2 linked regions of the Daphnia pulex genome follow. The protein of the gene in region 1 purifies or fractionates together with the protein of each later gene. This does not show direct contact. Links are inferred from orthologs where the notes say so. Each region holds a gene or a part of one and is shown on either strand. Other genes may lie near its edges.

Region 1 (3,754 bases):
CGATGGCACTTAGATCCATGAATTTAGTCTCGTCGTTCAATTCCGCTTTGACTGACATGGTCGTCCGAGCGGAATCCGAGCCTTCCCGGCAGCCAATGTGGCACAACGCATGCCTCGTCTCACGATTCAGCTATCGTCTGCCAGACTCGCATCTCATTCCTCTCACTCCGCAACGTCGGAATACGAAGTTGATTGAAGGTCAACTTTTTTTCAAAAAAGGGCTCGTGTTTTGGCATATGAATCAAACACAACACCCAACCATCTCGGCGCCATTCGACGAGCTACTGGACCTCCCTCCGGATCTCTGAAAATCGAGTGGAAGAAATAAAATGTTGTTTTGAATGATTTGGATCAAATTGAAACGAAAGAGCACTTTACACAATCAGTCAAAAATATTTTGGGTTATTTCATTTCCACTTGAACAAATACACTTATTTCGATTCACACACAATCTGTCGAATTCTTTCCAACGCCAACGACTTTTTTCCTCCAATTATTTTAATATTAGAACAAGGAAGAAGATTTTGTATGCGGCCGATTTGCTCACGACCCGATCGCCGACTAACTTTGCCCACGAAAAACTGGCAAATTTGTTTGTTTTTAGTTTGAATTTTTCTTTTTCCTACACGACGCGCTTCTCATTTTCTTTCTGGTCTGGTGTTCGCCCTTTTTTTCGCAGTTGCTTCCAAATATTTTAAAACTTGGCTCAAGTTGGATGCAGTGTGCTACTATTTTGGGCGCCATACACACACACTCGCATACACACACACACACACACACACACTGCTGATGTATATTATTGGCATTCGCAGCCGCCCACTCAAGCTATTATGTTACCCGAACGGTCGAGAACGGAAATAGGAAGAAGAACAGGCGAAAAAAATGGTCTTCCACTGGTCATCATTGCCCCGAAACACTGTCATATTAAAAAAGAGGTAGTTCATCTGGGACAAAGAGTTATGATATTTGGTGTGTCTTTTGTTGCGACACATCGTTCGATTGGGACCCTGCCAAGAACGCATTTTGAAATAGCGAAGAAAAAGCGAACTGTCCGTTTGAGAGTTGATGTATCTATTCATGTGTGCTACTGCTGTAATTGTTGGTTGACCGATTACTTTGCGTGTGATGACACGACCTGCAGCGCGAGAGAGAGAGTCAGACTCCCCCCCAGCGAGACGAGGAAAGAGATTGGAACTTAACGCGTCAACACATCATATCAACCTTTAATTATGTGGAAAACGAGTTTGAATTACAAAGAAGCATATACTCATAAATATGGAAAGCTGCATTCGATGTATACAAACAAGAAATTTTTCCCCAATTGAAATTCTTGTCACACGTTAGGGAATTTACTATTCGCACCGAACTTCACGCCATCTAGTTTAGCAAAAACGCACCGTTTACTAGACTCTGGCGGAATTCAACACGAACTATTAATGCCGGCATCGAAACAATTCACAGTTGCATATGTATGTGTGTTTTTGATTGCCTAAAGTTTAATTAAAGTTTTAAAACATAAAACTCTGCAATGGATCTACCTCGTCCTCCCGAAGGTAATAACCGTTTAAATTGAAAAATCTCCTCATCAATTTGTTCACAACAAATATTTTTATAGACATAGAACTGCGCAACATTATTGACAAGTTAGCTCAATTTGTGGCGAGAAATGGTCCCGAATTTGAGCAAATGACGAAAAACAAACAACGAGATAACCCCAAGTTTGGTTTCCTGTTTGGTGGGGAACTTTTCAACTACTACCAGTACCGTGTGACAACAGAGCAAGCAATTAACAAGCAAAAGTTTGTCCGAGAGCAAAGTCAACCCATGAGCTATCCAATCAACTATGGCCCACCGCCTAATACAGAACATCCCAGTTTCAATAGGAATTACAACTATGGCCCTTCTTCTGCATGGCCTAGGGCTCACCCACAGCCATCAATGCCCAATCAGATGTCATTTCCTGGACAAAATCCCATCCCTCCTCAAACAGATTTGATTGCTTTAAAAGGTGCAAAAGATGTACTCGTTGCCCAACAAACTCAACTGCAGGAACAGGTAAACATACTCCAGATCATATCAAAAATAGTAAATACTAATTGGTTTGGTTCACCAGATCAAACAAAGTGAAAGCAACTTGGCCGCTCAACATCAAGTGACAGTGCAACAGCAGAAAAAGCAGACAGAGGAAACAGTCAAGTTGCAACACGAAAAAGAAGTCATGGAAAAAGCGTTGGCAAGTGGAATGAATTTGGCAGAGTTAGAATTGCTTTTACTGCCTATCATGGATTCTTGCACCAAAGAATCCATATCTCAGGGTAAAGCTTGGATTCTCCATCATGTGATGCAGCCTCATTCATCCTCTGATGCCATAGCACAATATCTCCTTTTCAAAACAACTCAAAGCAGTAAGTTTTCCTCTGTTGTGGCTACTTGGCATTGCCTGAGCATTTTTTTTTCTTTCTGAATCAACAGGTCAATTTACCCACAAACTTCACTTGATCTATTTGGTCAACGACGTGTTACACCATTGTCTCCGCAAAGGACCCGACACGCTTTTAAAGACACTCGAACAAGTTGTCGTCCACATGTTTTCAAACACTAGTCTGTCTGCAACCGACGAGGAGCAAAACGCCAAATTGCAAAAACTGGTCGTTTTGTGGCAAACGAAAAATAATTTGTTTGAGCGTGGTGTCCTGGAAAGGTTACACGCACCTTTACACATCTGGAATGAATACCACAACAGTCTAGTGGCCAAATACTCGGCAGCCGTAGCAGCTTCAACTAGCAACATTCAGCATACGTACGAAAACTACCGCGGCCAGCATCAAGCCTTCGTCAATCATGCCAACCACCAGATTCAGCAGCTAGAGCAACAGAAACTGCAAATTGAAGAACAAATCGCGGCGGCCAATGCTTTGCAGTCTTTTAATGCACCTCATCACGCCATGCCGCCGGATTTCTTATCTCGCCCGCCGCCAGTTGCTTCCCTTAATGCCCCGCAAAACTACCCGTGTGAAGGAATTGAACCAAAGGCTCCCTACTTCGACTTACCAGCGGGATTACTCGTCCCACTGGTGAGAATGGAAGACAGCGAGTACAAAAGCATCGATCCGAAAGATATCCGCCTTCCTGCACCGCTCCCACCGTCTGAGCGATTGATTGCCGCCATTGATTTCTTCTACAGTCCTCTCTCGCACGACCGACCACGAAACGCAGATGGGTTCGTGATAGATTTCCTTTCTTGTTGGCTTATCATTCAAGCTTCTTCTTCTCAACTTTTCTCTTTCTTGTTTTTTTTTTTAGGTGGGAGCAGATGGCTCTTTTCGAGTTTTATAAGAACAAGGCAACTGCGAAAAAGAAGAAAGAAGAAGATATTGCTCAGGGATTACGCGACATGTCGCCGCCTCGAACTCCTATCGAAGTTGTCGAGGATCATTCCCCTGAAAGAAGTGGTAAGAATGGAATCAGAAGTCCCGTGCGTCGAAGATTCCGCAGTGAGTCGCCCGAGGAAGAGCATAGAGAAGAATCGAGGCAAGCTCGATCACGATCCAGATCGCCTAGAAATTCAACAAGACGTCGCCGAAGTCGATCTAATTCAGAGTCGCCCCGTCGAGCTGCACGCTCTCGTTCTCCTACACCTAGTCGTTCGGAATCAAGATCTAATTCGCCCGTCACGATGACCGGTTTTGCGCAAAAGCGGAGCCCCACGCCACCTTCAGAAATGTAACCAACCCCTTTTTTTTCCTTAAGTTAG
Region 2 (3,403 bases), on another chromosome or scaffold:
ATAACAGGCCGTATTTACTGAAATGCTATGCTTTATAAGCACGTACGTTATTGAGCATTTGAGCTATATTAAATGTCAAAATATGAGGTCAATAATAATGGCAATGACAGCTGACCTTGTTCTCGATCATGTTGAGACATGAACGATTCACGAAGAATTCTTTCAACATTATGATATCATAGGAATTTTGAGGCAAGAAGAGGTTCCCACTTTGCGTAGCTATTTCGAAGAACTACATATACTCATGGTTCTTGGAAACCGGATTATACTATTTAAAAAATACGTTAACGTCGATAGATCGTCCCCTATAAAATATTAACCTCATTTTTATATGAAAGTGGTTTAACCTACTGAATGTCACTTAAAAAACACTTAAGAAAAGAACCAATTTTCATGAAATTTTTTATGATTTGGAAACGGGATATATATATGGAAACCTACCGCCAAGTTTCCGAATTCAAATCTATACTTTTTTTATTACTAAATTCTAAGCATCCACTAGAAGTCTATTACTGATTTGCAGCTACGCTTGACAACTCAAATTTTAAAAAGTAGAATCTACCTTTTGATGAAAAATGAATGTAGTCGTGAAAATCAAAGTAAAGTAAATCTATTTTACACTTTGAATGTAGAACCTTGCTTGATCAACACATTTTTGTGCAATTCAATTATTTGTTCTGGTGTGATATTGCGAGGACACGCTAGCTTGTGAAGTTAGAATTTGTTTTGCTTCGTAGTAGTTTAAATTCATCTCTCTTCATCCCTTTTAAGGAATCAATCTTATTTCCTAGAACGAGAGAAAGGTTTTTCGTCCTAAAGGTCAAATGCTTCCAACTTTTGGGAACAACGCCATACCATGTAATTAAATTCAATTACTTTCGATTCGTAAAATTTATTTTTCAATACGTGTTCAATCATTCAGCTCCATCTTGAGAAATCTTTCCACATCATAGAATCCGGCTTTCACCTGCCGACCAGCAAAGAATCGGCCGTTGAGATCAATTACGGCTACAAAAAGAAACGACAGTTAACAATTTTTAACAGACCTGTGTTATTGTTCAACTGTAGTTAATTACCTTTGATGGCAGCTTCCATTCGTTTAAATTCAACAAAAATCCGTACAGCTTCCTCTTCCTCGGCGTTAGGTACCTCGAAAATAACAACTTTATTCACATCCCCGTATTTTGTCTGACATTCCTCGCGTACTTCGGGTTCCAAATCAGAATCCACTTCACCAGGGCCAACCATATTCTAATGAAAGGGGAAACAAACAAACAACAGAATTTGAAATGAGGACCGTGAAAATGATTGACCTATGACATTACCCTCAGATAAATCACTTTTGAAGGATTCTTCATGATATCAGCAATCGTTAATTCCGCTTTGGGAGCAGCTGTTGGCGACACAACAGGTGGCGGAGGAGGCATAATTTCTTTTTCATTGATAATACGTCCACCTCGCTTGCTTGTTTTTTCCACTTGTAAGGCAGCTGCAATACCTTGCTGTTGTCGTCCAAGTCCCTGACCTTCTTTGAATCCATATTTTGCCATGATCTTAGCAGCAACACCAAGAGCTCCAACCCCACTTCCAGTAGAGGAGAGAGAAGGATGAGATGGCGATGAGTTGTCTTGTAATGATGGAGGTGGGGCAATGGCAACTCCACCAGAAGTAGAGGACTTCTTCACCATTGGTTCCTCTTCCTCATCATGTAAACGTCCAGCAAAACCTGATCCTACAGCAGATGAGGACCTAAAACATGAAATGGTTATGTAATCAGTTTCTATCATCACCATATTTATTAGGCAGCTCCCAGTCCCATTATATACCTGTCTCTGGTTTTAATATCTCGATCATCCCTAGGCTTCCTTTTCTTTTCAGCTTCTTCTATTTCAATTTCAATCCCTCGTCGTTCCTTTCTCTCTAAACAAAAAACAAAAAAAAAAACAAAAATTATTGTATTCAGATTTTTCATTTTCTATAAAAGGTGCTGTGTACCCCTAATGATTTTGTCATAGTCAGTAGGATGCAGTGGATCATACTCTAGATTTGGGTCCCATTCCAATTCAGCAAAGAGTGAGGATCTCTCTTGTTTAGGAACAATAGTTGTCAAGAGTTGGGGTGTCTGATGAATCAGATTTTTGGTCATTTCAGGTTCAGTTTTTATCTGTGATTCAGTAGCTGTGAGGCAGGGTGGTATTACAGGATGGATAGCTCTTCGGATACCTTCACGTTTTGGCTAGGAAAAACAAATCTTTCTTCATAATCTATGAGTAACAAATGAAATGTAAATTGTAGGATACCTGTGTAATCATAGCTTTCTTTAAGTGCATCTGCGAATGTAAAAGCTTGATTCCTGACGACCATCCGGTGACAGATTTAGCTTTATTTTCGTCGATATCATCGTAAAGAGACATTTTCACAGCAAAGTAATTTCTTATATCCGTTGAATTAGTTGTCGTTCAAATCGTTTTTAAACAGAGCTCAGGACGCCTTCGCAGTAACATACACAAGAAATAAAAATAGACGACGAATGCAAATTGTACTGTATTTTTTTATGTTTTGATGTATTCATCTCATGAAAGGTGAAGGTGACTACTAAACAGCTACCTAAATCTGCAGTGAGGAACCAGGGGGCAGGGGCATGCCAGGGCCCAGCAGGGCCAGGGCCCAGGGGTGGCCAGGGGTGGCCAGGCACTACAGATACAGCGATACTACCCTGTTTCTACTTATAAATAATTGAATTGTTTTTTTGTCAATTAAACACCTTGCTTTTCGGATACGGAATAGAAAATACGGAGCTTCTCCCAAAAAATTGCCTCCTTGCGCATATCGTTGATTTTTGATTGTTTTGGGACAGGAATATTTTTGGGTCGGCCCTTTTACGAGTTACGACACCTCCAAATGTCGCCACAGTTGTGTGCCGTTAATTGTATGCGTATCTATATTATCGAGCGGACGGACTTGTTATAAGAGGTGTCTGTGACGAAGAATCAGTGACGAGAAAGAATAAAGTTATTTATATCGCAAATTCCAACAATTGGTTTGTGAGAAGTCACTGTTTTTCTGCAATAAAACTCAACGTGGCTACATCTTGCATCTGAACTTTCTGTAGCACCGAACAATAATTATTTTAATACTATTTTTAAATTAACTGAATTTAACCGAATCTTTAACGCTTCTTTTAAGAATCATTAATAATGATGCAGACACGTGTATTACTTCTTGAAAACCGGTAGCTATTAAACTTAAGCCGGGCGGAGATTACCGCCTTCGTTAGAGAAAACGAGACGACTTCTCCGTAGAAGAAACAGAAAGAGAACAATTAAAATCACGGAGAAGGAAAAGAAAGAAGAAAAGCGGCTGAGGAAAAGTTCTAAAAACGTGATGTAAGCTATTGTAGCTG

What was found. The genes of interacting proteins can lie anywhere in the genome.
Region 2: the proteins of calcium homeostasis endoplasmic reticulum protein-like (region 1) and splicing factor 45-like purify together in Homo sapiens (co-immunoprecipitation; 4 studies listed by BioGRID and IntAct, counting the BioPlex papers as one, with this or other methods). This does not show direct contact. The link is inferred for Daphnia pulex from reciprocal best matches to the Homo sapiens genes CHERP and RBM17.

Annotation. Positions count from the first base shown.
Region 1 is NC_060023.1:8,902,388-8,906,141, forward strand, and holds the start of calcium homeostasis endoplasmic reticulum protein-like, read left to right. Parts: upstream 1-1,414; 5' UTR 1,415-1,528; coding exon 1,529-1,553; intron 1,554-1,615; coding exon 1,616-2,055; intron 2,056-2,113; coding exon 2,114-2,405; intron 2,406-2,472; coding exon 2,473-3,220; intron 3,221-3,303; coding exon 3,304-3,723; intron 3,724-3,754. Other genes in the region: uncharacterized protein LOC124197929, read right to left, coding at 1-58. UniProt on the Homo sapiens protein: Involved in calcium homeostasis, growth and proliferation.
Region 2 is NC_060018.1:8,645,502-8,648,904, reverse strand, and holds splicing factor 45-like, read right to left. Parts: upstream 2,616-3,403; 5' UTR 2,415-2,615; coding exon 2,301-2,414; intron 2,237-2,300; coding exon 1,996-2,236; intron 1,921-1,995; coding exon 1,827-1,920; intron 1,750-1,826; coding exon 1,326-1,749; intron 1,252-1,325; coding exon 1,077-1,251; intron 1,009-1,076; coding exon 911-1,008; 3' UTR 877-910; exon of another isoform or gene 788-876; 3' UTR 595-787; downstream 1-594. UniProt on the Homo sapiens protein: Splice factor that binds to the single-stranded 3'AG at the exon/intron border and promotes its utilization in the second catalytic step. Involved in the regulation of alternative splicing and the utilization of cryptic splice sites.